Ovis aries: one gene and its partners. The protein of the gene in region 1 interacts with the protein of each later gene in a pairwise test. Links are inferred from orthologs where the notes say so. Each region holds a gene or a part of one and is shown on either strand. Other genes may lie near its edges. The genes, in order: INSR, MAD2L1, SH2B1 and SHC1.

Evidence for each region.
Region 2: the proteins of INSR (region 1) and MAD2L1 interact in binary tests that used the Homo sapiens proteins (3 or more experiments, as listed by UniProt). The link is inferred for Ovis aries from reciprocal best matches to the Homo sapiens genes INSR and MAD2L1.
Region 3: the proteins of INSR (region 1) and SH2B1 interact in binary tests that used the Homo sapiens proteins (3 or more experiments, as listed by UniProt). The link is inferred for Ovis aries from reciprocal best matches to the Homo sapiens genes INSR and SH2B1.
Region 4: the proteins of INSR (region 1) and SHC1 interact in a two-hybrid assay, tested with the Homo sapiens proteins (2 studies listed by BioGRID and IntAct). The link is inferred for Ovis aries from reciprocal best matches to the Homo sapiens genes INSR and SHC1.

Annotation. Positions count from the first base shown.
Region 1 is NC_056058.1:13,932,226-13,940,149, forward strand, and holds the start of INSR (insulin receptor), read right to left. Parts: upstream 4,042-7,924; 5' UTR 3,557-4,041; coding exon 3,457-3,556; intron 1-3,456. UniProt on the Homo sapiens protein: Receptor tyrosine kinase which mediates the pleiotropic actions of insulin.
Region 2 is NC_056059.1:5,752,894-5,760,784, forward strand, and holds the start of MAD2L1 (mitotic spindle assembly checkpoint protein MAD2A), read left to right. Parts: upstream 1-3,312; 5' UTR 3,313-3,418; coding exon 3,419-3,491; intron 3,492-4,239; coding exon 4,240-4,386; intron 4,387-7,534; coding exon 7,535-7,655; intron 7,656-7,891. UniProt on the Homo sapiens protein: Component of the spindle-assembly checkpoint that prevents the onset of anaphase until all chromosomes are properly aligned at the metaphase plate.
Region 3 is NC_056077.1:26,476,592-26,484,530, reverse strand, and holds the start of SH2B1 (SH2B adapter protein 1), read left to right. Parts: upstream 1-3,850; 5' UTR 3,851-7,939. Other genes in the region: TUFM (elongation factor Tu, mitochondrial), read right to left, coding at 1-165, 922-1,041, 1,132-1,283, 1,397-1,501, 1,585-1,717, 1,850-2,014, 2,104-2,208, 2,434-2,600 and 2 more. UniProt on the Homo sapiens protein: Adapter protein for several members of the tyrosine kinase receptor family.
Region 4 is NC_056054.1:105,185,410-105,192,755, reverse strand, and holds the end of SHC1 (SHC-transforming protein 1), read left to right. Parts: intron 1-157; coding exon 158-277; intron 278-553; coding exon 554-607; intron 608-794; coding exon 795-846; intron 847-1,021; coding exon 1,022-1,148; intron 1,149-2,102; coding exon 2,103-2,301; intron 2,302-2,387; coding exon 2,388-2,457; intron 2,458-2,530; coding exon 2,531-2,665; intron 2,666-2,829; coding exon 2,830-3,068; intron 3,069-3,884; coding exon 3,885-4,013; 3' UTR 4,014-5,518; downstream 5,519-7,346. Other genes in the region: PBXIP1 (pre-B-cell leukemia transcription factor-interacting protein 1), read left to right, coding at 6,212-6,314, 6,778-6,827. UniProt on the Homo sapiens protein: Signaling adapter that couples activated growth factor receptors to signaling pathways. Participates in a signaling cascade initiated by activated KIT and KITLG/SCF.

The DNA of each region.
Region 1 (7,924 bases):
AGTGGTTCTCAATCAGAGGACAGTTGGTGGTGTCTGCAGACACTTTTTAGTGGTCATGACTTGGAGAGGGGCGTTGCTACTGGTCAGAGACCGCAGACAGTGAGCAACATCTTAAGATACACAAGACAGCCCCCTGCAACCAAGAACTATCCAACCTCATAGATCAAGAGCACAGAAATTGAGAAGGTCTATTCTAGCCAAAAAATAAAGGATGTCAATGAGGAAGTGGAGTGAGGTGGGGGCCCATGGGGTGAGGCTCGCCCCCAGTGACCTCTATGAATGAGCAGGGCAGGGTCGAGAGGCAGGTCACCAGGAGGGAAGCAAAGACTAGGAAGAACCTCAGAGAACTGACCCAGAGAGCAGAAGTTCTGATCTGAGGGTCCCAGAGTGCACCAGAGAACCACAAGAGAAACACTAGATTCCACCTCGAGATGTAAGGGGATCCAAAAGCAACATCTAGCACCTCAACTCATCAATTCACTGCCCCTGCCAAGATTCAGTTTCCACTATAATTAATCCCACTTTGCCTTCATTCTCTGACTTTGCAGTGCTCCTGGGTCATCTCGGGCCAGAGTGGGTCAACCCAAGGAGACATGGGAGGGAAAACCACTGCCCAGTTCAGCCAAGCCACAGAGACTCCACAGGGGGGATGAAATGGGCTGGCCCATCCCATGTGACATCGAGGAGAGAGTCCTCAGTCCTTCAAAATCCCACTGATCTCCATCGACCCCACCCCCACCCCAGACAGAATGCCACACTGCTTGCTGCTGGAGATTAACCAACGATCCGGAAAGTTCCTTGCCCCTCCCCAAACCTCCGAAGGGCATCACATGTCATTTATTCGAGAGTATTTTGTTAACCTTTATACCACAGGGGTTAGGGCGGGGAGGCTCAGAGTCCCAAGAAGAACCTTCTGTTAAGAAACCTTTTATTAACAAACCGGAGTTCTCATCTCAGCACTGCCACCTCATCCAAGTTCCTCACCTTCGAAATGGATGATAAACCTTACCTCGGAGGGCTGTGGTGAGGATTAATCGAGATTATCAATGCCGAGTGTGTAGAATTTGCTTGTATTTGTGTCAGCTAGGTTTTATCTGAAGAATAAAGGAGCCATGACTTGGACTCCTGGGAAGAACAGGAAGGACAGGAGTTGGATCTAGAACAAATATTTAGGACTTCCCTGGTGGTCCAAGGGCGACAAATCCTCCTGCCAATGCTGAGGACAGGGGTTCGACCTCTGGTATGGGAAGACCACATGTGCTGCAGAGCAGCTAAGCCCGAGTGCCACAGCTGCTGAGCCTGCACTCTGGGGCCAGGGAGCCACAACTATTGAGCACACGAGCCACAACTACTGAAGCCGCGTGCCCTGGAGCCCGGTCTCCACAACAAGAGAAGCCGCTGGAATGAGAAGCCCATCCCATGCACAGCAACTACAGAGTAGCCTCGATCCTCACACCTAGAGAAAAGCCCAGCACAGCAATGAAGACCCAGCACGGTCAAAATAAATAAATGTATCAAGCATCTCCTAGGTGTCAGGGGCTGCTCTAGACTCTGGAACTGTGGCAGTGAACAGAGAAACATAAGCCTCTCCCTCGTGGAAGCTATAAACATGCAAGAAGTGGCAAATCCATCCACTGACCCCTGAAAGTGAAAGTCGATCAGTCGTATCGGACTCTTTGGGACCCCATGGACTGTATGTAGCCCACCAGGCTCCTCTGTCCATGAGATTCTCTGGGCAAGAATACTGGAGTGGATAGCCATTCCCCTCTCCAGGGGATCTTCCCGATCCAGGGATCAAACCCAGGCTCCTACAGGCAGATTCTTTACCATCTGAGCCACCAGGAAAGCCAGCCCAGGCACAAATCCACCATTAATTCCTAAAGCTACCAGGAACAGAGGAGCAAGGAACTGCATGCATATACAGATGTGCACCCACACACAGACACACACGGGCATGGACACACAAAGCCGGACACAGATCTAACAGCTGGTCTGGGTTTTTGTGTGTGTGTGTGTGTGTGTTTTTTTTCTAACAAGAGCCTAAATCCACTGCTACCCTTCCTTGGAGGAGCACTCACTGTATACCAGGCACTTGGGTGCTTGGAGACGTTGCCTAATTGGCAAAGGTGCTCCACAAACCCGGTTTGTCAACTCCAGAGCCCCCACGTGCTTTCTCGTGCATCCCCACTCACCGACAGGCAACTCAGGAACTTCTGTTCCTTCCCTGCCTGACCCCTTCCTCATCGGGACTGATTTCCTTTTATGGAGAAATCTGAAGAAGTAACCCAACACATATTTTGAAAGCAGGGCCTCCGCCATCATGGTGGGAAACCCCAGTTATATTCTCTTCAAGGATTTTCCATCCTTGACCTGCAGCCAGAAAGACGTGCTGTCAAGCCCAAGGAAAATGCTGGGACTTACCCCTCTCCCCATACCAGGGAGCTGCTAGCCCAGGGACACTCATGAGGGAGAATTGGAAGGGAGAGGGGGCAAGGTGCTGGGCTGACCACAGATTAGAGACCTGCCCAGCTGACAGGTAAAAAGGTAGAGGAGGGAGGTTACCAGGGGTTCCTGGGGCGTGGGCAGCTGGGCAGAGCCCTGGGCAGAGCCAGAGAGGTTTGTCTTCTCTCTAGCTCTGATTCTGGGGCAAGTGAATTCTGTGTCCTTCCTGAGCCTCAGTTTACTCCTCTATGAAATGGACCAACAACAGTATCAGCCTCCACGGGCTGCTGCAGAGATCCAGACAGATAAGACCGGCCAGCCCGAGGCATCTGGTGACACCAGCTATAATAATCATAAAAGCCAACACTACTGCTACTACAGCTGCGCTGTTGCCAAGGGCTAGAGCTTGCCTCCGACATCTGGAAACAGAATTCCAGAGTATAAACATGGACCTGAAGTCAGGGGTAGCCGTGGGTCTAGATACCAGAAAGAAAGGGGCGGGTTCTACACTTCCTCGGCCCCTGGGGGAGCGTCACCAAGCTGCTGGGATCTCAAGGGACCACCCTGCCTTCAGTCAGTCACCCTCGATTCTCACTCCAAACCGTCTGTGCCCGGGGCATTTGGCTGTGTGAGAGTGTCCGATGACCCTACTTCTCGGAGGCGACCCAGAGAGGACGTGTGTCCCGTCTCTGGAGCCAGGTGGTGGGCTCAGAGAGGCCCAGACACGGGGGTTCGAGGAGCGCTCTCGGGAGAGGCGCCCGCGGAGGGGCGGGCACTAGGGCAAGGTTCCTCCAGCCCCGGGCCGCATGCGGGTCGTGGAACCGCTAGCCCAGGCGGGCAAAGGCCAAGGTCAGCGGCTTCCCGCCCCCCGCGAGGCCGGAGAAACCGTCCGAGCCACCAGCCCTCCGACGGAGGACGGCACTCCGTCCACAACGGGGGGTGGTTCCATTTTGGCAAAGGGTCCCCTCCCCACCCGCGCGGCTTCCCGCCCGCTCCGGGACCCCCCAGACTCACCTTCTCCAGGGTACAGGTGGCCCGCGGCGCCCACCAGCAGCGCGGCGACGACCACCAGCAGCAGCACGGCTGCCGCCCCGCTCCCGCCCCCGGCGCCCATGGCTGAAGGATCAGAGCGCGGGGCGCTGGCTGGCGGGGTGCATGCTCCGAGGCGGCCGCCCCAGAGGCGCTGGGGGTCGCGCGTCCTTCTCTTCCACGCGGGCAGCCCAAGGTCCCGCAGCCTGCGCCCGGGAGGACTCTAGATACGGCCCCGGGAGGGGCGCGCGGCCTCCGCTGCTACGAATCCGGCAGCGCGGCCGGGTGGAGACGGTCCCGACTCCGGGCCCCCGCGGCCCGCGCCCCCGTCCCGACGATCTCAGGGCCCGGAGCCCCGCGCTGCGCCCCCCTGACTCTAGGCTCTTGGCCCCGAGCGCTCCGGAGCTCCGATCTTCGGACGCGCGGACAAACGGACGTGCGGACAGGCGGGCGGGCACCTGGGCTGGCGGGTGGCGGGCAGGCGGCGGGAGCCAGGGCTGCTCGGCCCGTAAACAACGCGGCCCGTCAGCTGGGCCCCGTTCGGGCCGCGGGAAAAGGCGGCGCGGATCTGGGCTCGGAAGGGACTCGGCGCCCGGCAGAGGCCCGAGAGGGGTGGAAGGAGGACGGGCAGGGGGGAGGCGCCGCCCCGCCCGCCCGCCGGTCTCCCTATCCTGGGCCCCGCGCTGGAGGCCCCCGTCGCGCCGTAGCCGAGGGGGCGCCCTAGATGCCTGCCCAGCCCCAGCGCCCCGTACAGCCCCAGGACTCCTGTCTCAGAGCCCGGGAGCGCCCCAGATTGACCAACTCAGCAAGTCGGATCGCGTGTTTAAAACATTTTGCTAGTTTGTTCTTCGTGGGACTTTAGAAAATTCATTTTTATTTTTTTAAATATTGCATTAAAATATTGTTTATCGTGGTTACTCGGCTTTTTGGTACTCCCTTAAATGTTGCGTTCACCTTCCCCTCGTCACAGTCTGGCCAGTGAGTATGGCCCTCGAGCGCCCCGGATGTCCTACCCCAGAGTGCGCCCCCGCCCAGAGCCAGGCCCCTGGGGACAGCCACGTGCACGAGCGTGCCGCGTGCGCTCAAGTATTGGGTAGCCTGGCCCCTCCGCACGATGCGTGGTTCAAGGTGGAGAAATGACCCTTAGGAGAAAGTGTAGAAACTAGCAAAAAAAAAAAAAAGTGCAAACCAGGCGCTGGAGATCTTCGGTAGAACACAGGTGGACACACCCAAGTTTCAATGCGCAGACCCAGAGTCCGTGTGTGTTTGAACGTCAGTCACGTGACAGTGGCCACCCCGCCTGCTGAAGAGGGGCCTTAAGCACAGAGAAGCCAGAACGGAGTGAGAATCTGCTTGAATGAGTAATTTTTCTCTCTCTCGATGGGCCTCATCTGTATGATGCACGTAAGGACACCTTCAGGTCAGATTTGGTGAGTTGTAAGGGCTTCCCGGAGAAGGCGATGGCACCCCACTCCAGTACTCTTGCCTGGAAAACCCCATGGAGGGAGGAGCCTGGTAGGCTGCAGTCCATGGGGTCCCTAAGACTCGGACAGGACTGAGCGACTTCACTTTCACTTTTCACCTTCATGGATTGGAGAAGGAAATGGCAACCCACTCCAGTGTTCTTGCCTGGAGAGTCCCAGGGACAGGGGAGCCTGGTGGGCTGCCGACTATGGGGTCGCACAGAGTCAGACACGACTGAAGCGACTTAGCAGCAGTAGCAGCAGCAGCAGCAAGGGCTTCCCAGGTTGCTCAGTGGTAAAGAATTTGCCCACCAATGCAGGAGACGCAGGTTAGATTCCTGGGTCAGGAAGATCCCCTGGAGGAGGAAATGGTAGCCCACTCCAGTATTCTTGCCTGGAAAATCCCATGGGTAGAGGCAGGCTACAGTCCATGGAGTCGCAAAGAGTTCGACATGACTGAGCTCGTGTGCATACACACACACACACACACACACACACACACACACACAACGGAGCACGCACACGCATGCACACACACAGTCTCCCAGGGGAAATAAAGCATGACAAAGCACCCAGAACAACTGTTGGCTGAGGGCATTCATTCTTCCTTTCATCTATTAAACAAATATTAGTTTGCCAGTAGATGGGCCCACTGTTCTTCTAACTCAAGTCTATTCCTGCCTCCCCTGTCCTTCTGGTGTCTGGCTCCACTTGTCTGTTCCAGTGAGCCTTCCCTGACCAACTTTGCAAACACTCCCTGTCCCCTCCTCCATTTGTTCCTGTCCAGACAGCACGCTGGTGTCTCTACCTGAAATTCTGACTTATTGTGTGTATTCACCCCTCCCCAGGAAGGCAGAAATCTTGTCCATCATGTTCAGTATTTTACACCCAGTGACTGACATATCCATTGCTTAATAAATATTTGTTGAGCGGAAAAATCAACATGCAGTAAGCAGTGGGGATTCGCAGGGAGCCAAATAAACACCATTCATTTCCTTGTAGACCTCACAACCCAGTGTAAGGAGAAAGCCATTAAGTCGCACATCAGATGTTTTATAAGGTGAGGTGGGGAGAGGCAGAAGGATTCTCCAAAGAGGTGATTTTGAACTGAAATCTGAGGAGAGAGAGCCAGCCCAGGGAAGCATCAAGAAAATGTTCCAGGTGGAGGGAACGGCGTGTGCAAAGGCCCAGAGGACAGGCCAGTGTTCTCACAACTGAGCCAGGCACTGTAGCTGGAGAAAAGAAAGCAAAGAAAGAAAAGGGGAAGGCTGGGCTGGTAGGCGAGACTAAAAGGGATATACCATGTATGGGTTGTCTTCAACACACCCTTTATCCTAAAAGCAACAAGGATGCATTAAAGGGTTTATACCAAAGGGTTGGGCTTCCCTGGTGGCTCAGACAATAAAGAATCTGCCTTCAATGCAGGAGACCCAGGTTGGACCCTGGGTCTGGAAGATCCCCTGCAGAAGGGAATGGCTACCCACTCCAGTATTCTTGCCTGGAAAATCCCATGGACAGAGGAGCCTGGCATGCTACAGTCCATGGGGTTGCAAAGAGTCAGACACAACTGAGCGACTGAAGTCAACTGACTGAAAAGCCACCAACAATTTCAAGCAGGTGGCATTTGCTAAAATTCCAAGGGACATACTGCCCTCTGGAAATCCTTCAGGATGCAAGACCTCCACATAAAGCTGGGTATAAAGTCAGAAGAATCGTTGTAGTTGTGGCTTACTGGGAGAAAATGAAGACACCTCCACTTCCAGAAGAAAAAAAGCTCATTATTTCTTCTGTAAGCTACCCCCGCACCCCCTCAAAAAAAATACCAGGATATAAAAAATGAAAGTCAACCTCTGCCTCTTCTTAAAAGCATTGGAATGAAAGTAGAAAATCACCATTTGCTAATTTCCAAAATAATTGATTCTGGCAAGAGCCATCAATGAACGTTAAAAGTGATGGTTGGAAGCTTGAAAAGTAATGGGGTATTTCCATGGTCTGCAAGTATCTCTTCGCAGCATGTTTGTCCAAAAAAAGAAAAATGGTAGCTTTGTGAAAGAAAAATCTGGCTTAACAAAATGATCAAAGTTACTCCTGGATTTTCTTTTGCAATAAAATAAATTATTGGGACAGTGGGAAAGATTGAAAAGAGTCTATCAGTTCCACAGTGATACTCTATCAATATTAATTTTGATCCTTTTACTGAAGTGATGTAACAGAATGTCCTTGGCTTTAGGTAATAAACATCAGATGAAGTGTGTAGGGGTTAAGGAACATAATATCTGCAACTTATTCTCAAATGGTTCAGAAAAAAAGAGAAAGAGACAGAGAAAGAACAAAGCAGGTGTGATTTTTAAAAGTGTGATGAAATTGGTTAATCTGATAAACTGTGCATATAAGGATTAATTGCACTATTTGTGCAACTTTTCTGGACGTCTGGGCAGGTATGTACTCAGTTGCTCAGTCGTATCTGACTCTGTGACCTCATGAACTGTAGCCCGCCAGGCTCCTCTGTTCATTGGATTTTCCAGGCAAGAATACTGGAGTGGGTTGCCATTCCCTCCTCCAGGGGATCTTCCCAACCCAGGGATTTAACCCACATCTCCTAAGTCTCCTGCATTGGCAGGCAGATTCTTTACCACTGAGGAAGTCTGCTGCTGCTGCTGCTAAGTCGCTTCAGTCGTGTCCGACTCTGTGCGACCCCATAGGAAGTCTGACATCATGTCAAAATTATTGATAAAAGCTTTAATAGTTTTGAAAAACCACTTGGGACTTTCGTTTTGGCTTTGTTTTTCTTACGTTGGCTTTGGTCTGACATTTGAACACATACCATACTTGAAGACATGATGGAAAGAGAGAGATCATTTCACGGTTCATGAGTATAAACACCAAATACTGTACTTTCGTTATGCATCAAGGAGGGCTTGGAGAGATACCACCACCACCTTGCTGGGGTCTTCCTTTAGCAAGTCTCTTTGGGACAATCTCCCTCAGTC
Region 2 (7,891 bases), on another chromosome or scaffold:
GAAAGGTGGGCATCACGCTCTACCAGCGTGGCTCTAACCCAAAATCCTGGTGGAAGAAATGAAAGGTGATTTAAAGACACACAAACACACTTGTACCACAGAGACTAAACGATGTAGGGAAAGTATTACTGGATGAAGTCAGCTTATTACCTATATACCTGTTTCACTCTTCAAACTGATTAAATTCTGATATATAACACTGTGTATAGGCAGAGTTCTAAGACGGCCCCTCAAATTTGTGGTCTCTAGGGAATATATCCTATATAATCCCTCCCGTTGAGTGTGGCCAGACATGTATTTACGAGGCAAAATCATTTTGAAGATTCAGTTCAGTTTAGTCGCTCAGTTGTGTCCGACTCTTTGCGACCTCATGAATTACAGCACGCCAGGCCTCCCAGTCCATCACCAACTCCCGGAGTTCACTCAGACTCACGTCCATCGAGTCAGTGATGCCATCCAGCCATCTCATCCTCTGCTGTCCCCTTTTCCTCCTGCCCCCAAGCCCTCCCAGCATCAGAGTCTTTTCCAATGAGTCAACTCTTCTCATGAGGTGGCCAAAGTACTGGAGTTTCAGCTTTAGCATCATTCCTTCCAAAGAACACCCAGGGCTGATCTCCTTGCAGTCCAAGAGACTCTCAAGAGTCTTCTCCAACACCACAGTTCAAAAGCATCAATTCTTCAGCACTCAGCCTTCTTTACAGTCCAACTCTCACATCCATACATGACCACTGGAAAAACCATAGCCTTGACTAGACGGACCTTTGTTGGCAAAGTAACATCTCTGCTTTTGAATATGCTATCTAGGCTGGTCATAACTTTTCTTCCAAGGAGTAAGCGTCTTTTAATTTCATGGCTGCAATCACCATCTGCAGTGATTTTGAAGCCCCCAAAAATAAAGTCTGACACTGTTTCCACTGTTTCCCCATCTATTTCCCATGAAGTGATGGGACCAGATGCCATGATCTTCGTTTTCTGAATGTTGAGTTTAAGCCAACTTTTTCACTCTCCTCTTTCACTTTCATCAAGAGGCTTTTTAGTTCTTCACTTTCAGCCATAAGGGTGGTGTCATCTGCATATCTGAGGTTATTGATATTTCTCCCAGCAATCTTGATTCCAGCTCGTGCTTCTTCCAGCCCAGCATTTCTCACGATGTACTCTGCATATAAGTTAAATAAGCAGGGTGACAATATATAGCCTTGACATAATCCTTTTCCTATTTGGAACCAGTCATTTGTTCCATGTCCAGTTCTAACTGTTGCTTCCTGACCTGCATATAGGTTTCTCAAGATGCAGGTTAGGTGGTCTGGTATTCCCATCTCTTTCAGAATTTTCCACAGTTTATTGTGATCCTCACAGTCAAAGGCGTTGGCATAGTCAATAAAGCAGAAATAGATGTTTTTCTGGAACTCTCTTGCTTTTTCCATGATCCAGCGGATGTTGGCAATTTGATCTCTGGTTCCTCTGCCTTTTGTAAAACCAGCTTGAACATCTGGAAGTTCATGGTTCACGTATTGCTGAAGCTTCGCTTTGAGAATTTTGAGCATTACTTTACTAGAGTGTGAGATGAGTGCAATTGTGCGGTAGTTTGAAGATTAGGTTTAACAAACAGGAAATCATCTGCCTGGGTCTGACTTAATCACATGAGCTGTTCAAAAGGCCCTCCTTGGAAAGAGAGTGCAAGTGTGACAAGGGCTCAAGACTGGCCTCTGGCCAATAGCTAGCAAACCAGTGACGACCTCAACTTAAGAGCAAAGATATTAATTCTGCCAGGAGCCAAGGACCTCAAACCCGGAGTTTAGATGAGATCTCTCTTGCAGCCAGGTGCCTTTAAACTTACCAGGCTACATAGAGCACCCAGCCATGCCATGCCCAGACTCTTGATCTAAGGACTGAGATAATAAATGGGCGGTGGTGTTGTTTTTTAACCACTAATGTGTCATAATTTGTTACACATCAATAGAAAACTAATACACTCAGGCACTTTTTCATATAATTAAATAACTACATCTGGGCAGGTTTCTCAGACTTCATTTCACAAATAATTACTCCACCTGCTGTAGGAATACAATTGCTTCACAATTGACATGACATTAGCAGTGCACTATCTGCTTAATTGGGTTTCCCTGGTGGTTTAGTGCTAAATAATCTGCCTGCCAATGCAGGAGAAGCTGGTTTGATTCTTGGGTGGGGGAAGACCCCCTGGAGGAGGAAATGGAAACCTACTCCAGTATTATTGCGGGGAGAACCCCATGGACACAAGAGCCTGACAGGCTACAAGCCCATGAGTTCGCAAAAGAGGCAGACACCACTTAGCGACTAAACAACATCTGCTTAATACTTCTCATAGAAACATTAAAAGCCACTGGATTTGAGTCAAAATTCACTGAGAAGCTCTTTAGTGTTGACGAGCCTTTTTGGCGAGAGGACTTTATTCCCTGACCAGTTGCCTAGGGGTGGCGAGGTACACAGAGTAGAGGCTGGACTATCAGACGCAGACTTTTGCTGCCCCCAGGCTCCGCCTAGCAGCGGGGTCGGGGGTAGACGCGAGCTGAGCCAGGACGAGGGGACAGAAGGGATTCCGTTCGTCCCTTTCAGACCTAGCCCAATTTCTCAGGAAAAACACCACGCCGGCACAGTAATACCTCTAAAACCTGCGGCACGCAGCTGCTTCGAAAGAAAAGTGAAAGTGTTAGGCGCGCAGTCGCGTCAGACTCTTTGTGACCCCATCTGCTGCAGCCTGCCAGGCTCCTCTGCCCATGAAATTCCCCGGGAAAGAATCCTGAAGTGCTTTGCCATTCCATTCTCCAGAGAATCCTCCCAACCTAGGAATCGTGCATTGCAGGTCTCTGGCATTGCAGGCAGAGTCCTCACCGTCTGAGCCACTAGGGAAGCAAACTCCCAGAGCACCTAGCAAGTTCCGACCGCTAAGGATCACTGGGGCCACTCAGGGTGGCGGACAGTTCATAACACTTTCAAAGAATCTTTCAAACTCGGGAATTGTGCTCCTAGGTCGCTCTGTCCGCAGACCCAGAGAGCGGCCACTGAAACCTGGACCTACCGTCTTGCCCGCTAGCCGCCAGCCCGCCAGCCAGCCCACAACTACAGCAAGAACCCAGACAGCTGTCACCACCCGGGAACGGCGCCGCCACGCCTCCCCACTGCGCCTGCGCGAACCGTCGCTCCCGCAGGGGCGGAGAGAACTGGCCGGACCCCGCCGCGCAGGGCGGGGGTCTAGAGGCACTTCGCGCCTGCGCAAAGGGCGCGACAGGCGGGGTCTAGTGGCCTTCGCGCCTGCGCAAAGGGCGCGACGGCGTCCTGCGTCGTTCCTTTTGAAACGAGTGGCGGGGAACTGCTCCGGAAGCCCCTGGCGTCGCTGTCTGCTGGGTGGAAGCGCGTCCCGTCCTCCGTGGGCCTGGCCATGGCGCTGCAACTCTCCCGGGAGCAAGGCATCACCTTGCGCGGGAGCGCCGAGATCGTGGCCGAGTTCTTCTGTAAGTCCTCCTCGCACGGGGCGGAGGGCGGGGAGAGCCGAGCGCAGGCCGCCCGCAGGCCCGCGGCTCGGCCGGAGCGGCCCCGAATCCCGGCCCTTGTACCGCGGCCTCCGGTGCCGGCAGGAGGGATCAGGAAGTGGGGCGGCGGGCGCCGCCTCCGCTCGCGTCGCTCCCGGCGGAGGAGGCGGCCCGGGCGCTGCGGCCGCAGTGCCGCCTTGCGAAGTCCCCTTCGCGGGAGGGTTTCTTTCCAGTGCAGAGCTCCTCCCACAGCCCCCGCCCCCGCCACGGCGAGGGGCCTCGGGTGGACCGTGACGGGCTAGACGTCTGAGCTCGGCCAGGTGTACCTGCTGACAGAACCTGGCAGGACCGCTGAGGATAAGAGGAGGAAAGAGACGGGGAGAGGCCTGCCTGGGCTTGGTACCCGTCTGTCAGTTGCCTGTTTTGACACCCTCTAATCATAAAATAGGCATTTGAACTTGTTCTACAATGAAATGAAATTTGGCACTGGTAGATTAGTGCAGTTTGGCATTTTTCTTCTGTTGCCACATAAATGCAGCTATCAGACGCAAGATTTTAAGGATTTTTTTTAATGCCACTTTGTACCTACTTGGCTTTCAGCAAAACACAAACACGTGTTTAGACATTTATAACTTTACACTGTTAATGAAACCATAGCCCCATCTACATATGCTTTATTTCCCCCAAAGTTACAACGTGACGATGACTTTAATATTTCTTATGTTTTCAGCATTTGGTATCAACAGTATTTTATATCAGCGTGGCATATATCCATCGGAAACCTTTACTCGAGTGCAGAAATATGGACTCACCTTGCTTGTAACTACTGATCCTGAGCTCATAAAATACCTAAATAATGTGGTGGATCAACTAAAAGGTATTTTATTGTTGGACACAGTTTTGAGTTTTGCAGGCCTTTATGTGAATAGGATCCTCGGGACTTCCCAGGTGATTCAGTGGTAAAGAATCCACCTGCCAATGTAGGAGACACAAAAGACTCAGGTTCCATCATGGGTCTGGAAGATCCCCTGGATGAGGAAATGCCAACCCACTCCAGCATTCTTGTCAGGATAATCCCATGGACAGAGGAGCCGGGCGGGTTACAGTCCATTGGGTTGTAAAGAGTTGGATAGGAGCACGCATTTTCTAGCTTCTTGGTGGTCATTTTTCAGCTCTGCACAGGGTAGTGTAAATCGCACTACCATATCCGATACAGTGAACTAATTGGAAGGGAAGCAAATAACATACAAATTAAAAGAATTCCCACCCTTCCTCCACTTTTGAGTAGACTGAATATTTTAAGGTTCGGAATCTGATATGGCTTAACAAAACAATCTCCATCAACTCCTTCAGGGATGATAGAACACATTGGAATTTTATGTTATTATGATGGCATTCGTTATCTGAGAAAAATACACTGCATGTATTTTTTGTAGCTGCTTGGAGTCTGAAGCCATCATTGTATATATTAAGATGAAGGAATTAAAATCAGATTCAACTTAGGGAACTAAACTTTAAAAAGAAGGAACTACTAAATAACAGCACTCATTGGAATTTTCTTATTTTTCACCTGTTTCCATTTCTTTTTTTTTTTTTTTTTAATCACGCCTGTGAGTCAGTAAGCCTTTTCTATCTGCACACTCATTTTCTTCTTTTAGCTCAAGAAGTTGCAGTATTGTTGGATTAGTAGCTCCATCTATTCCTTTTATTTCTAGAATTTCTACTAGTTTCTTTTTCATATTTCTCTACACTTAGGATTCTCATTTCTAATTTCTCTGTGTTGTAAAATGTTTCTCCTTTTCTGCCCATTAGATCTTCCAAAATACTAGTTCTAAAAATACTACAGCCGCATTTTTTTTTAACTTTAAAAGTCATGAATCACTTTTGTTGTTTCAGCTAGCTTCATTTTCACATTACATCATTGCGTTTTCATTAACTTCAGAGCTAAGCCACCCATAGTCATTCATACGGCTGCACTCAGATTGTTTGGTATGGAACCTCTAGGCAACTATGGATGTATGTCTTCATCTTCATCTGAAGAAGTAGCAAGCCAGCCTTGCCTAAGTTACTGGTTTTTGGTTTGTGTCCTTTGAGACCAATAACATTTCTTGTCAGAGGTATCTACACTTTCCTACTTAATTTCTCCCTTTTAGTTAAAATGGAGGAAATGCTTTACAGGCAAATTGTTCAATTCCACTTTTAAATTCTACTTCTCTAGCGTTAGGAACTTAACCCTGTTTCCTCTCTCTTACGTTGTCAATTTCTTTGTTTTCATTTGGATTATTCCCATTGGTTTCATTTCCATTTTTAAGAGAGAAAAAAATCGCCAACTTCCCCATATCTTCAAATTACCACTCAATCTCTTTTTCACAGGTAAACTGGTAAAAGTTGTTCATATATGCCAGGAGTGAGCGAGGCCAACAGGCCAGATCCAGCAAGTGGCTTATTTTTGTACTGCTTGCAAGCTAAGAATATTATTACATTTTAAAGAAGACTATGCAACGTAGGTGACCCATAAGACTTCAGTATTTCTAAAATATTTTCTATCTCTTTAAAAAAAAAAACCTGCCGATGCCTGAATAAAGTATTCTCAGTTTCTAAGATTGAGGGCTCAGCCTGAGGCCCTCTTACTATAATCTGTCTCTAGTTGACCTCTTACATGTACATAATTCTAGTAACAAGTTGTGTATCTGACTCATGAACCAATATCTAACCAAAGCCTCTCCTAACTCTTGGCTCATATATTGCCCCCTTATGTCTTTATGCAGCTATATAATATACTACTTCATACTCACTATATTAAAAACTGAATTTAGGATCATCTCCATTTCAGTTCTCTTTCCTCTTGGTGACTGGATCAACCATCCGACTACTGATATAAATCAGAAACTTGGGAGCTATCCCTGATTCATTCCTCTTCCTTACCCTGAGGTAATCCAATAAGTCTTAACAGTTTTAACCATGAAATCTCTTGAATCTGTCTACTGCTTCATCTCTACCAGTGTATCTTCTCCAAGTCTTTATTAGCTCTTGTTGGAGTTATGCATGAATTAGTGCCCTAGATCCCCTGTTTACTTCCAGTTTACGGGAAGTTTTGTTGTTTCAGCTAGCTTCATTTTCAGATTACATCATTGCGTTTTCATTAACTTCAGAGCTAAGCCACCCATAGTCATTCATACGGCTGCACTCAGATTGTTTGGTATGAAACCTCTAGGCAACTGTGGATGTTGCCTAGAGGCCAAGAAGGATAGTTTTCCAATACAACTTGAATCACATCATATGCTGCTTGAAACACAGTAATGACCACTTTAGTTCTTAAGAGTGTCACATCTTTAATTTGGTGCTCATGACCTCGTGTGGTCTGGCCCATTTATCTTGTCAGACCAGCCTTGTCCATCCTCCCTTTCTTAAACTGCAGTTGTATTGGCCTCCTTTCAGTCCTCTGATCCAGTGCTCTGTTTTGTGTCTAAGACCTATACCTTTAGCAGGGAGATCCCACATGCCACAACTAAGACCTCACACCGCCAAAATAAATCCATCATTTCATATTTTAAAACCTATACCCTCTTTCCTGTTTTGCATACATATACGGTTGTCTCTTAGAACAAAACTCAAACCCCCGAGTCAGAATTTCCTATTCTGTGCTTTAATTGTAGTATATGTTGCACCATCATAGGTAACCGCTATTATGTCATAGGAAACTGCACCATCATAGCAGTTAGAGCAGTTATAATTTCACATTTATTGTTGTGATTTGATTAATGACATCTCCTTCACCCTTCCCTTGGATTACGATGGAAGTACCTCGTGTTCACTGTCTTAGCACCCAGTGCTATACCTGGCACAAACACTGAGAATCTGAAATCGGGAGCTAGGCCATTGATGGGGCAAATTTTCTGCACAATTTGGAGGAGAACGAAAGTAGCAGTGGGAGAAGTTTGCTGAGGATACGAAGTTGGTCTTGAGAGGAGAGTTGCTTTGTAATGCAGTGAACTAAAAAAGATGCCTTGTTTTGTATATTGCAGAATGGTTATACAAGTGTTCAGTTCAGAAACTGGTGGTAGTCATCTCAAATATTGAAAGTGGAGAGGTCCTTGAAAGATGGCAGTTTGATATTGAGTGTGACAAGACTGCAAAAGATGACAGGTAAGTAGAAATTACTTCCATTTTCGTATGTTTTTAAATTTATGTTCTTTCCCAAATGAGTTCTAATTATATGGAACAAGTTTCATATAAAGTACAATTTTTTTCTAGGATGTTTATTTTTTTAATATAAATTTATTTAATTGGAGGTAATTACTTTATTGTATTGGTTTTGCCATACATCAACATGAATCCGCCATGGGTATACGCATGTACCCCATCCTGAACCCCTATCCCAC
Region 3 (7,939 bases), on another chromosome or scaffold:
CTTGATGTTCTTGTCCTCCTCGGTCATGGCCGGCGTGTCAGTGACGAGGCCAGTGCCGATGGTCCGGTTGCCGTCCCGCAGGGTGAAACGCTGGCCTTTCTCCAAGATCATTGGCTGCCGCAAGATGAGCGTGAGCTTCAGGTCCTCCCCAGGCATGGCAAGCTCCTGAAAGGCAGACACAGACCATGTTTCAGGGCACCTTCACTTCCTATTGGTTACCAAGGTTAAAGGTTATGGGAAAATGCAGCAGGGTGATTCTGGGGAAACTTCTGTCCTAGCTGTTAGGCATATGCAAAGGCAGAAAAGGACTCATGGGACTTCCTTGGTGGTCCAATGGTTAGGAATCTGCCTGTCAATGTAGGGGACATGGATTCGATCCCTGATCTGGGAAACAAGATCCCACGTGCCGTGGGGCAACTAAGCCCCTGTGCCACAACTACTAAAGCCCACATGCCCTAGAGCCTGGGCTCTGCAACAGGAGAAGCCACCGAAATGAGAAGCCCGTGCACTGCAACTGGAGAGGAGCCCCCACTCTCCCAACAGCAAAGCCTGTGCAGTGCAACGAAGACCAGGGAGGCCAATAAACAAGCTATAAAGATAAAAATTAAAAAGGACTAGCCATTAGCGTCTCTAAAGCTTTTCTTGAGGAAAAAAATTGTTTATAAAATTTGGGGTTACGCAGGTCTTGGGCTCAAGACTTCTCTTGAGCCTTTACGTAAAATACAGTGGAACTCTCTACTACAGGAACTCTGCTGGGGAATCTGTGTGGGTCAATGCTAACACAGCTAAGGAACCCTGGAAGAGGATTCGTTCCGCCTGAACCCACTGATCTGACCCTTCCATCACCAGCTCTCCTCTTGCACCATCAGCCAGGCTTTCTTCACCAAGGAAAAGTCACCCCCACTGCCATACACATCATACCTTCCCTGGAGGTAAGATGATCCGACAGGCCATGTCCCAAGTCAGGGAGAACATGACAGGCATGAAGTGGGATACAAAAGGCTTGTGGCGGCCACCCTCTTCCTTGCTGAGGATGTACACCTGTGAGAGGGAGCAAGAACATGGGTGAAGCCGGGCCTGGCTGGAAGCACTGACCCTCCACAGTGCCTGCCCATCACCTAGAGCCCTCACCTGTGCCTCCACCTTCTGGTGGGGCTGGATGGAACCTGGCTTGGCCATGACCAGGCCACGTCTCAGGTCCTCCCGCTTCAAGCCTCGGACCAGGGCCCCAAGGTTGTCGCCCGCCTCTGCCCTATCCAGGCTCTTGTGGAACATCTCAATGCCTAAGAGAGGGGAGACACGCAGGAGAAGGGTGTGGGGGCAGAGGGAAGGCATGGGGGGGGTCTGTGGGGGGGAGATGTCACCCTAGCCTGGGTCCCAAGGCTGCCTCCTGTACCTGTCACCACAGTGCGAATATTCTTGCTGTGTCCCAGGAATTCACACTCGTCTCCTTTCTTCAAAATGCCACGTTCGAGCGTGCCTGTCACCACTGTGCCCCGGCCTGGGAGGGAACAGGACAGGGCATCAGGGACACCGGATGAAGCGGCAGAGAGGGGAAGGGAATGCAGTGAGCCAGGTCCTCACCAGGGATCGAGTACACTGACTCCACGGGCAGCAGGAAAGGCTTCTCCAGGTCCCGGGTGGGCACTGGGATGTATGTGTCCACAGCATCCAGTAGCTTCTGCACGGACTTCAGGCCTAGCTCAGGGTCACGTTGCTATGAGCGGGAAGTGACAGGACTCTGAAACTTCCATTCTGCTCTTCTTACTTGCCCAGAGCTAGGCCCTGGACTCAGAGCAGAGCTCTGGGTGCCCATCCAGCCCCCTCCCCAGCCTGACCCCGCCTTCACCTCAAGGGCACAGAGGGCAGAACCAACAATGATTGGAGTCTCCTCCCCTTTGTAGCCAAACTCAGTCAGCAGTTCCCTGATCTCCAGCTCCACCAGCTCCACCATCTCAGAGTCCTGCACAGCGTCCGCCTTATTCACATACACCACCACATGCTCGACACCAATCTGCAGGTGAGAAAGACACACAGACGGTGTCCTGAATGGCCCAACACCCGCCCGCCCCCCCTTCCACCCCTTCCCAGGCTCTTGAGTACCTGTCTGGCTAGCAGTAAGTGTTCTCGGGTCTGGGGCATGGGGCCATCATTGGCTGCCACCACCAGGATGCAGCCATCGAGGGGGGCAGTGCCTGTGATCATATTCTGGGGAGAAAGAGGAGAGGAAGTAGTGCAATTCCATGACCTCCTCCACTCCCCAGCCACCTAGCTAAGCACAGACACTTCTTTACCACCTGCTGTGACTGGCCAGGCCCACAGATCCAGGATCTCCAACCCATACATCTCAAATATCTTAACCTCCTCCCCACAATCCTAACGTTTTTCCTGAGGGGGGCAGTTCCCAAGCCCTGTCCCCAGCGGCTCTCTCACCTTAACGTAATCTGCATGACCGGGGCAGTCAGTGTGGGCATAGTGGCGGGCGGCTGTGCTATACTCCACATGAGCCGCATTGATTGTGATACCTCGGGCTCGCTCCTCTGGGGCGTTGTCAATCTCTTCGTACTTCTTAAACTTGGCCCCACCTCCCTCCGCTAAAACTAAGGGAAGGAAGGGAACACACTTTTCAGCAAGGCCCTTTCCACTTTAGAAAAGGACAGTCTAGGAAAAGCAACCTTCCAAGATACCCTCCTTCAACTCCTGGGACTAGTAACTCCAGATCAGAAAGAAAATAGAGCCTCAAGGGCTAGCCCTGTGACTTCTCTAGGCCAACAATTCTGCTTACAGGGCACCTTCCCAGGGCTGGAGGGAGGCCACTGGGGGGGTCCCCCAACTTATGCATCAAAAACTTCGTGTTCACGGGAAATCTGTCTTCTGCATCCTGCAGTGTACTGTCCGCCCAATTTCTGGCGCCTTGTGCCCTGGTAAGTCACTTCAGTCGTGTCCGACTCTGTGCGACCCTATGGACTGTAGCCTGCTAAAACTAAGGGAAGGAAGGGAACACACTTTTCAGCAAGGCCCTTTCCACTTTAGAAAAGGACAGTCTATGGACAGGCTCTTCTGTCCATGAGATTCTCCAGTCAAGAATACTGGAGTAGATTGCCATTCCTTTCTCCAGGGGATCTCCCCGACCCCAGGGATCGAACCGGCCTCTCTTACGCCTAACCTGCATTGGCGAGCGGGGTTTTTACCACTAGCGCCACCTGGGAAGCCACCTGGCGCCTTTGGGGCAGCACCAAACACCTAGGCAGTTCCTCCGCGGGCCCCGCCCCCTTGGCTCCAAGTCCCACCTGCAGAGCAGGCGTTGCTGGAAGCCCCCCAACCCAACCCCACTTACTTTTCGTGATGGCCGCGGTGAGGGTGGTCTTGCCATGGTCTACATGGCCGATGGTACCCACGTTCACATGGGGCTTGTCACGTACATAGGTCTTCTTGGCCTCCACAGCCAGGCCACGGCACAAGACGGGCAATGCCGGGGCCTTCAGCTGCCGCAAAAGACCCTGCAATAGTGGTGCTGGGCCGGCGCCGAGACCTGCCGGGGCAGATGCCTGGAGTCACGGCGCAGGTCTGAGCCCGGCCGCTCCCGACGACCCCCACGTGAACCCGGGGCGCCGTGGCCCTCCCCGCCCCCTCACCGCTGAAAAGGGGCGTCGCGCGCAGCAGGGTAGCGGCCGCCATTGTGGTCGTACTGGCGCCGTAGAGAGTACCGGGCACGGGGGCCGGCGCGTGCAGCGGGGAAAGGGCAATTGCGGATGGAAGTCGCTTCCGGCGGAAGTTAGGACCGAGAGGGCACGTCTGGGCCCCTCTAGCCTCCAATCTCTATGGCCCTGTGAACTTCCGGGCGCGCGACAGAACCCGTCCAGGAAAGTGCTGATGGTGGTAAGGTGGGGAAGCTTTCCACGGCGCCCTCCAACCTCGCGGGCTCAGGAGCCACGCAGTTCTCTCTGGTGGCGCCGGGAGGCGATGTGGAGCATCTCATAGCGCGCCTACGCCCCGGAGGCTCATGGGCGTTGTAGTTCCCAGGGCCGTGAGCTGTACTGGCACGTATCGTGGGAGGGCGAGGCCAGGTCCGGAGGGACGGTCCAGGCCTTCTTGAAGCAGAGGCAGCGGCCCCGGCGTGGATGACTCCGGAACGTCTTGGCCCCGAACCACTTGGAGTCCAGTCCGACCCGCCGCGCGGGTCTGACGACAGATCTGGCGGCCTTGTGTCGCAGCTGGAGGTAGGACCAGCCGCTGCGGCCAGGCTGAGGGAAGACTCCCGAGAACCTGTTGGGGGTGGGTCTCTAGTGTGACCCACCTCTCTTTTAAGCCTTTGTTTTCTTATCTGTGAAGTGGGAATAGTATCTACTTTACAGGAAGATCCTGACATCTAGCTCTGAGAGGAAATGAGCTGGGCAAGAGGCAGAAAAGGGGTCCAAAAGCCTCCGGGTCCTACAGTCTTTGAGACCCTCCCCTGGCTCAAATGCCCTGTGAGCCAGGGGGGACAGAGTTTCCTGTCCACCCCTGTCGCCCCTCAGCAGGCCAGAGTAATTCTCTGGATCGTCGGTCAACCCACCCGGTTTTACAGATGACCAGGTGAGAGACCAACTTCTTGTGCCTTTAAGGGCAGCCTGAGTCTGTCTTGTTCCCGCTGTGTCCCTGGCACCTACCACAGGGCGGGGCACTCAGTGAGTGCTCAATTAATGTCTGTTGACTGAATGAATGAGTGCAAGGATAGTAAATGACCTTTAACTTTCACATCCATCATCTCATCACCGTGGGATGATAATAGCAGCTGCTTAACCTTGATTAATGTTTCCAAAATTCATCAGCTCCTAAGACTCAGCTGATGGTGTCTGTTTCAAATAGATTCCTTAATTCCTCCCTTGGAGATTATGATTCAGTAGTATCTGGGTACAGACAAGAAAACTATATTTATTTTTAATACTCTTCTTAAACTCATAGGAGTTTGGGGGACTCAGAATTAGAGCTTTTCATGGTTCAGGCGTTGTGCTTCATGTTGCTTCTCATTCAGTATCACATTCAATGTTATACTGTGTGATAGGACCCCATTTTACTAGTGAGAAAACTGAGCATCACGGTAATTAAGGAACCCAACACAGCTAAACTCCAAAAAAGTGTGCATTTAGCCACTTCACCGAACTATAATTTAACTGTCATTTTACAATGAGAAACTTGCTAAGACTTCTGTCTTCCTGGCCCTCTAAACCCATCAGCTTTGATGAGAAAGGGCTTGTACAATATGAAAGGGTTCTCCTTGTCCCCAACCTGAACCTCAGTCATTCCACTTCTAGAAATTTATCCTAAGACACTATCAGCCACTAACCAGGATATGAAATATTGGGGGCTGGTACTTAAATTAATGCTTTCTTTTTTAGTGGTGCTATATTCATTTTAATGTGTATTAGTTTGAAAGAAAGGCTGGCATTGTAAATGTTGTATTTAAAAAAATGTTGAATCAATTAAAAAAAACAACACTTGGTAGATAAAATGGGTGATATGAATATATGGCAAATCTGGGGAGAGGTGTATGTGAATGACTGAAATTTGCAAAACACAGTGCTCAGGAAAGAGTCCAGAGGGACAGAATTTTTGTAGAGCTTTTGCCTGTTGCACCCTATGTCACAGGAGTCTGGATTTGCAGATAATAGAATTTACATGGGCTGGTTGGAAAACTGTGTCAAGGTGGTAGGCAGCCTACAGAATTGTGGAACGGGCTGAAGAAATGGATCCTAAGCCACAGGTCTGACCTGACCTGGTAAGAAAACTGCTTCTCCTGACACTGCCACCAGACACTAAATGCCAGGACTTAGACTTGTCTGCAACAGCTGCTGCTCATGGTCCTGAAACCGCTTCTACATCAAAAAAGTGACCTTTGGGACTTCCTGGTGGTCCAGTGGTTAAGAATCTGACTTCCAGTGCAGAGGACTTGAGTTCAAGTCCAGATGGGGAACTAAGATCCTACATGCTGCAGGGCAACTGGGCCTATGTGCCACAACTACTGAGCCGGTGGAGTGCTCTGGATCTGTAAGCCACAACAAGGATCCCACGTGCCACAACAAGGATCCCACGTGCCACAACTCAGACCCAACACAGCCATAAATGAATAAATATTTTAAAAAGAAGGAGGAGACACCGAGGAGACAGACCACCTTCTGACTCTGGGAGTTGTTGGATCAGGATGGGAAGCCTGGAATTACCATGCCCATCATGCTCCCATCCGTGGTGAAGCCAAAAATCCAGAAGTGGGCAAAGAGGATCTTAGAAGCCTGGACTCTACATGGTGTGAGATGACAAGTGTCTTTATTGTTTAAGGCAGATGGTGTTAGAGTTGTCTGTTACTTAAAGCCAAATACACCCTAACAGATAAGTCTGCCTTACAGCACTTGGACGTATTTCTTGGTGTCACTTGTCTGAGACTAAGTGACTTGAGTGGGGTGAGGACTGGGCTTCCTTTATCTCCATATACTGTGTGCCTGGCCATAGCAGGTCTCTGTGCATACTTGCACTTGAACTGTTCATGAGCCTTCCAAATCGAAGGGTGCTACCACTGTGATGCTATGAACCTAACATACTCCAAACAGGACACTATGTTTCTCCCATACTCTCTTTACATATCTGAATAAATGGCACCACCTTTGTCCTTTTCCCCCAAACCTACATCTGTCCATTACCCAGTCCCACTGGTTCTCCAAAATAAATCTCAGTGTAACCGTTTCTCTCTCTCCCCTGTCAACACTGGGCTTCAAACTGGGATCATCTCTTGCCTAAGTTACCTCATGATCTCTCCAGTGGGTCCTCCAGCTTCTGTCCTTACTCTCAATATCTGTCAAATCCATCTTCCACACAACCAGATCAGTCTTTAAAATGTGAATCAGAAATGAATCCTCCCTTAGTACACGTGGAATAAAATCCAAACTCCTACTTATTTAAATGGGTGAATTGTATGGCAGGTAAATTATATTTCAGTAACATACATATTTTTGTCAGTAAACATTAAGAAAAAAAAGTCCGACATCCTCCCTGGGGCCTGTGGTCTGGCATGGCCATGATCTAGCCCCTGTCCACCTCTCTGATCCCCATTTGGTACTTTCCTCTCACTCTCTCCAGCCACACTGGGCATCCTTCTGTTCCACCAACACCCCAGGATTGCTTTTACCTCAGGGTCTTTGCAAATGTGCTTCCATCTTCCTGGAATGTTCTTCCCTGGAGCTTTCCCCACAGCTTGTTCCTTCTCGTCTTCCAACCTCACATGTCACCTCTTTTGACACCCTCTTATCAATGGTCCTCTTATTTTCTTGATAGCACCTAAATATCCAAAATTATCTTAGTAGTTTGCTTGTTTGTTGGGTTTTGTTTTTTGTTACTTTTTTCTCTCTCACCAGCTCATGATACTAAGAACTTTTACTTTTTATTTTAGGAATAGTGTCTAACACTTAGGTCAAGAAACATTTGTTGAAGGAAGAATTTGTTGAATCATTTCAGTTGATCATTCAGTGAAGCATTGTGTTGGGCTTAAGTTTCTGTGTTTTCAGTGGAAAGCAAATTTTGTATTCACATTCATTTAAAAAATACAAGCGAATCACTAGAACTTCTGAGGCCTCTGCTTTATAAAATGGGGGGAGTGAAGAGGTAAAACTATGATCTGTAAGGGTTTTTTTTTTTTTTTTGTAGCTGTAGCTTCTAAAAGGAGGTGGGGTCTGCTGTAATTGACATGGGTTCTGGGCTGACCTATAACTTAGTGGCAAATTGGGGACTAGGACTTAGAGCCTTGTCCTTGGTACCACTCAACAGACTTATTGGAAACTCAGGGGCATCTTTCACTCTTTTTAGGGGCTCACAAGTTACAGACACTTCTGTCACTCAGGATATTCCAGCCAGCCTGGCAGTGTCTCCTCAGAAATCCCTCTGGACATTCACCTTGGAATTAACCCCACTG
Region 4 (7,346 bases), on another chromosome or scaffold:
TACCCGGGGTCTGTGGGGCTAGGGATGCTGGGAGATGTGGAGGAGCAGGGGGAAGGCTAGTGTGGGGCAGGTGGGGAGAAGTCCAGAAGGCAGGAGTGTGGGGGTTTCCTGGTGTGGGGGACCCCCCAGCTTCTGAGACCCGTGGGCCCTTCCCTAGCCCTGTAGCCGTCCACTCAGCTCCATTCTGGGGAGGAGTAACCTGAAATTTGCTGGAATGCCAATCACTCTGACCGTCTCCACCAGCAGCCTCAACCTCATGGCCGCAGACTGCAAACAGGTTGGTGGGGTGAGGCGGCGGGGGTGGGGTGGGCAGAAACATCGATGGGAGGGCTAAATGGGAACTTGGTTATGAGGGTAAGACACTGGGAGAGAAGGCTTGGGAGCAGTGGAACAGTAGGGAAGGAGCAGATTAAGAGAACATGCGTTGAGAAGCCAAAAGGATGAGACTGGGACGCCAGGGTCTTGAGCCAGTGGTGGGCGGTGCCCAGTAGACTCTGAGGCTGCCTGATGCCCATCATTCCCTTCCTTCTCCATCCTCTGCCCTAACCCTCAGATCATTGCCAACCACCACATGCAGTCCATCTCGTTTGCATCCGGCGGGGACCCGGTGAGTTGGGGAATGGAGCTTAGGTGGTGGGAGGAGAGTAGGGGGCTAGGGATTGGGAGGACACTGGCAAGAGAAGTGAGCCCGCTAGGATTGCGGCAGTGTCTGAGAAAGGGGCCTGAAGGGGTCAGGAGTAGGGTGGGGCTATACAGTTTAGCTAACTGGCCTCTTCTGCCTCTGTCCACCCCAGGACACAGCCGAGTATGTTGCCTATGTTGCCAAAGACCCAGTGAATCAGAGAGGTGAGGTGTGGATGGGGAGCACTGGGTGGGGCTGGCTGTCCAAGGGGCAGGTGAGCAGGACCCGGGGGCTCCTCCTGCCGAGGGCCCCTCCTGCCGAGGGCCCCGTCTGTGCCTCCTCCCAGCCCCACAGTCCCCCCGCCGCCCAGCTCCCTAACAGCCTCTGCTGCACCCCCAGCCTGCCACATCCTGGAGTGTCCCGAAGGGCTTGCTCAGGACGTCATCAGCACCATTGGCCAGGCCTTCGAGCTGCGCTTCAAACAGTACCTCAGGAACCCACCCAGGCTCGTCACCCCCCACGACAGGTGCGCGGGTGAGGCAGGTGGGGGCGGGGGGCAGCCCACTCCCGGGGGCCCCAGACCAGAACTGGAAAAGGAGGCCTGCTCTTCCACAGTCCAGCTCAGAAAAGGGCAGGGAAGGAAATAACCTGCGTGCCCCTGCTTCCTGCTATTCTTAAGTTTCCTGTGGCCGGCAGGAAGGTGCTCCGTGGCCCTGCCCGCTGCAGGGCCAGCTTTTCCCGTCGGGCGCCCGTGGCGGGGCTGCAGTGCAGGACGTCCAGCTTGTCCCTGGCTAGACGGGCTTCTCTTTTCCCAGCCGTCTCGTTTCTGGTCTGTCTTTTTGTGCTTCTGTCCATACGTAGTTTAGTTCTTCACGTTCTTGCCTCTAGAAGCCATCAAGAATTTGGGCAAGGGAGGATGGCTCTTTCCTGAGATGGTCACGTTTCCCACCTCAGACCAGTAGGATCGAGTATTTAGAGGAGGGGTTGGGATATTCTAGGGCACCCCCTCCCTGGTTACTTGGTGTCTCCCCTCCCTCTTGGGAGACCGCGTGACGATCAAGGGCATGACGTTAAGGCAAACTCTGAATTGACACTCGGCTCCACCAGTAGCGGTGGTGGTTCAGTCGCTAAGTCATGTCCAGCTCTTTGCGACCCCATGGACTGCAACACGCCAGGCCTCCCTGTCCTCCACTATCTCCCAAGGTTTGCTCAAACTCGTATCCATTGAGTCGGTGATGCCGTCTGACCATTTCTTAGTTGTGTGACCAAAATCTTTTTATCCCTGATCATCATTTTCCTCAACTAAAAAACTGGAGAAGGAAACAGTATGTGCTTTATCGGTTGCCCAGAGAGTGAAATGATTATACGTGAAACACCCATCCTCAGGCCTACCCCTCAGGGAATGCCCCATACGTGACCACTGTTCCGTTCTCCCTCCGTCCTCCCATCCACACTCCTTTCTCCCTCCTGTCTCTCTCAGGATGGCTGGCTTTGATGGCTCAGCTTGGGATGAGGAGGAGGAAGAGCCCCCTGACCATCAGTACTATAATGACTTCCCGGGGAAGGAACCACCTCTCGGGGGTGTGGTGGACATGAGGCTTCGGGAAGGAGCCCTCCCAGGGGCTGCTCGACCCACTCCACCCAGTGCCCAGACCCCCAGCCACCTGGGAGCCACGCTGGTATGTTGCTTGGATGGAGGCGGGTGGGGCTTGGATGGGAGCAGCTGGTTAGGGCCTCTGGTTTCACTCTGTCTTGGTCCCTGCAGCCTGTGGGGCAGCCTGCTGGGGGAGACCCAGAAGCCCGCAGACAGATACCGCCCCCGCCACCCTGCTCAGGTATGAAGGGGACTGAGGGGCAGAGGGGAGTGAGAAGCAGGGCGGGGCCCCTCTAAAGCCTCCGTTTTCTCAGCAGGCAGAGAGCTCTTTGATGACCCCTCGTACGTCAATGTCCAGAACCTAGACAAGGCCCGGCAAGCAGGGGCCGGGGCCGGGCCCCCCAATCCTGCCATCAATGGTAGTGCACCCCGAGACCTCTTTGATATGAGTAAGTGTGCCTCTCGCCTTTCTGTGTCTCCATCTTCTCACTTGATTCCTCCTCTTTTCCTGCCTCTCTGCTTTTTGCTTCCTGGCCTCCCCTCCCTAAAGGTCTAGGTCCTGAGCATAGGGTTGTGTCAGCTGCCTCTCCTAGCCCTCTCTCTGTATCCCCAGAGCCCTTTGAAGATGCCTTGCGAATGCCTCCACCTCCCCAGTCAACAGCCATGGCTGAGCAGCTCCGAGGGGAGCCCTGGTTCCACGGGAAGCTGAGCCGGCGCGAGGCTGAGGCACTGCTACAAGTCAACGGGGACTTCCTGGTGCGGGAAAGCACGACCACGCCGGGCCAGTACGTGCTCACCGGCCTGCAGAGTGGGCAGCCCAAGCACCTGCTCCTGGTGGACCCTGAGGGAGTGGTGAGTGTGGCAGGGGTGTAGGTGGGCATGGCAGAAAGGAAGGTGCAGTCCCCTACCTGTGGCTCTGCTCCTGCCTCACTGCTTCCTAGACTTTGTCTGCTGGGCACCTCTGTCTGGGCCTCCCCTGTTCCCAGGTGTCTGGCATCTCCTTCGTCTAGTGGTTTAGAGTTCCTTCCCTTCTCACATCCCTCACCTGAGCTGTATTCCCTTCAGTCCTTGCCAGTCCCCAAACGTTGTGCCCTTGAGAGCTAGAAAGTGGTCATCTCACTAGTCCCTCTTTTGACAAATAAGGAAACCATCCGCCAGAATTGTAGTGCTCTATGTCAGATGTCTAGAGGCGAAATATCCTGAAACTTTTCACAAGAGGAGCCAGGGGCCTCCCCAGCTCCTGCAGACTCAGGAGTCAGACCAGAGCCCTGTCTCCTGTCTGCGCCGCCCGCTGCCCCTCATGACTTCACTCTTGTTTCTGCAGCAGTCTCAGCCTCCTTTGCATGTCTTTTTGTGTCCTGTGTATCCTCTTCTTGGACATACCGCCCTCCTCCAGGTCAGGGAAGGAGTAGCTAGCCTTCAGTTTCACGACTTCTGGGCTCATGTCTGTTCTGCCTTTTCCCAGTTCACTGACTTGCCCATTCCCACATCTGTCTCCAGCTTCTCTTCCCAGAGAAGCCTCAGTGATCAGAACTGAGAGCCCTCCCTCTCCTGCCATCTTTTTCTCCTGCCTCAACCCTCTTGACTATCCCAGCTTCCTCGGCCTTGGAGACTGAGATTTTATCTGACTCTTCACCTGAATCTCCTTTCTCTGTTCCCACTCCCCAGGTTCGGACAAAGGATCACCGCTTTGAGAGTGTCAGTCACCTCATCAGCTACCACATGGACAATCACTTGCCCATCATCTCTGCGGGCAGCGAACTGTGTCTCCAGCAGCCTGTGGAGCGGAAACTGTGACCTGTTCCAGTGCTCTCTCTCAGAAGACGGCCTGCGGTCCCTTCCACCCTATTCCCTGACTCTTTGGACCTCACTTGGGAGTGTTCGTGGGCTTGGCCTTGTGTAGGACTGGGGATACTGTGGACACTGGGTTCAGCATGCAGCTGAGTGAGAGGGTTTGAGTCAGGAACCAGGGGTAGAGTCCTGCTTCTCCCCAAACCTCACCAAAGTATTAATGTACAGAGTGGCCCCCTTCCCTGGGCCTTTCCTGTGCCAACTTGATACCCTTTTCCCCAAGGTGGGTGCTGGAGGCCTGGGCAGGATGCTTCCTGGTAATGGAAGATGTTCTGTGGTGATAGGCCCAGTGGAGTAATCACCCTTTCAGGGAAGGGGAACTGAATCATACCTTTAGTCTACCCCTGGGCTCAGGGTACCCCAGACTCCTCAACAACCCTCCCTCCCAGCATTCAAATTTTGTGCCTTTGACCATCTCCTAGGTCTGAAGATATTTTATGCAAAGAGTTCTTGGGCCCCTGAAGTCAAGGATGGGGGTGCTGACAGCTTCTTGGCTTCTGGGACCCCGTCCTCTCCTCGCTCAGCACCTCCTCCAGTTTAGGTTGGGCCAGCAGAGGCAGGAGTAGCAGCTGTCCCCTCTCCCTGGGATGTGCAGCCCTTAGAGACTGCCGCGGCACCCTGCTCTCAGCCAGTGGGGAGATGGACCCCTCCCTTGCTCAGTGCCTCCTGGCTGGGGCCCCTCACCCAGGGCTCTGTATATACATTTCGTAAGCCACCCCCCCCCCCCACCATGTTGCATGCATGTTATACTCTACAGCCAAAGTACAGCCCTTCTTCCTGGCCTCTGCCCTGCCTCCCCCTGCAGGGGTGGTGAGGGGGGTGACGGAGCTGCCATCCCAGCTGGATTTGGTCGAGGTGGGAACAGGGGCATTGAGACTTTAAAGCAGTAGACAATCCCCAGATACCATTGGTAGGTTTGGAACTGCGTTTTTTATTTTATATGCATATATTTTAGGGCTGTAGATTTACTTTCCTAATTTGTTTTCCAGAGCTTATTCCTGAGCACAAAATGATGATAATCGATGACATTTATACATCACCTCTTTGACTTTTTCAAAGCCCTTTAACGACTATTGGCATTTTCCTCACCCCGGCCTGTGGGGCAGTTGGAATCGGTAGCATTATCTTTTCTACGAGAGAGACCCAGAGAAGTGGAGTGTAAGCTAGGACTACAGAAACTTGGCCCTCCCACTGCGAGGCGGGGAGGCAGAAGTTTGGCTGTTAGTTTCACACGAGGCGGGGTCACGGTTATTTAATCCCTTCTCCAGGCCTCGCCCTGCAGCAGCAACAGAGGAGCCGGTCCTGCTCTGTCTTTAGGCTTTGTAGCTAAGGGAGAGTGGACTATCTAAATCCTCGCCTCCCTTTTGTTCTTTTCTTTTTGTTTGGATGTTTTCACGGGTCTCACTTATACCAAAGGGAAAGAATCTTCATTAAAGTCCATATTTCTTCTACCTCGGCCTCTAGGTCTCTGTCTCAGCTTATTGTTGGCTCTGGGCGCCCCCCACGGCAGGAGGAGAGGCTGGAGGCCGGACTCGGCCTCACCTGGACTCGCTTGGGTCGCACTCGAGTGAGAACTTAAGGAAGGATTCTCGTAGGAGGGTGCGGCGGGGTGGGGCGTGCGGGGCCACCATGCCAGGGGATGTTCGTGTCTGCAGCGGGGACCGAGGCGGGGTGGGATCGCGGACAGCCGGACCCCAGGCGGCTCGGGCCAGCGTGCACCCCTGCAGCGGCCCCTCGGCGCGGGATGGTACGGCCCAGCCGCAGGGCCGACGGCTGCCGTCTTCCCTAGCGAGCCGGCACGCCGCGCTCCCGGGCTGGAGACGGCCTCCCCCAGGCTTGCGCCTTGGTACGGCCCTGCCCGCCCAGCGCTAGGGGGAGGGTCTGGCCCGGGCCTTGCTCCCCCTCCTCGCCGAGCGCAGTGGTGGCTGCCACGCCGAATTCCGCTTCCTGTGGCTGCGGTCGCTGGCGGGCGGTGAGGCAGGGCGAGCGTGCAGTTGGCGCCGCGGCTCGGCAGCCCCGCCTCGCCGCCCCTCGGGCTTGCTGCCGCGCGGGGGCCTGCGCCGCCCCTGCCTTCTCTTCCGGGCCATGGTGCAACCCGAGGGCGCGTCCGTCCCCCGCCGCTGCTGACCCGGGTCCCCCACTCCATGGCCGCCTCGGCGCCGCCCCCACCGGACAAGCTGGAGGGAGGTGGCGGCTCCGCACCGCCCCCTGCGCCGCCCAGCACCGGGAGAAAGCAGGGCAAGGCCGGTGAGAACGCTGAGGGGGCTGGGGCTGGCGAGGCTCAGAACTCTCGGACCTTGGAGGGAGGGCTGGTGGGCCGGGGAGGTGGCGGCTCTCAGGCTGAGGGCCCTGAAGAGAGGGGATGCTCAGTGGAAAGGATAGGTGGGTGAAGCCCTCCAGGGGTTGGGGACGAGGGGTCACTGACTGCCGATCCTAGAGTTTGGGGCACCTGGAATGAAGGAGCCACTTGGGAGTCTGAGGCTATCAAGGGATGGGGACGTCTCTCATTTAAAGGGAGAGGCAGCTGAGAGTGTGGCATCCCATTTATTCTTCATAGTGTATCTTTGTTAGTATCTAACAAAGTAGATACTAAGTAAATAAACAAGAATGTATTGAAATTAGAAGAATCTCCTAGATCGTGCTTGGGAGAGAGGATGTTGGGGGAACCTCAGGGAAACTTGTTTGTGTCTGCCTTTTACTGCCTTTCCAGGTTTGCAAATGAAGAGTCCAGAAAAGAAGCGAAGGAAGTCAAATACTCAGGTGAATGGTGGTTGGTTGTGGGGGTAATTTCTGGTAGCCCGTTTGGGATCTCTGTTCTCCCACCTCAATGTCTTCATCTTGCATCAGCTACAGGGAGAAGAGAAAGTTGTCTTTCTTACTCTTTTTCTGGTCCTTTCCTTCAGTTTTATATTTTGGGAGTAGGGTAGGGATGAGACAATTTGACCAGATATTTTATCAGTGGGGATTAGAATCGTCCACTCCCCTGTGTGTCCTGTTCCGGTTCCCCCATGATGATAACAACTATCACTTGCTGAACCTTTTCTAAGTATCAGGGATTGTGCTAAAATGCTTCAACGGCTTTGGGAGGTAGGCATTGTCACAGTTTTACAGATGAGAAACCTGAAGCTTAAACATGTTCAATGCCTGCTCCAGGGCTTTGAGGTTACTCAGTGTCAAAACTGGGATTCCAGTGTAGTTCTGTCTGTTTTCAAAACAGTTACGCACTATGGTGGTTGTGCTCTCTACTGTGTTTCTTTGTTGCACTCTAAGGTCCGCCTG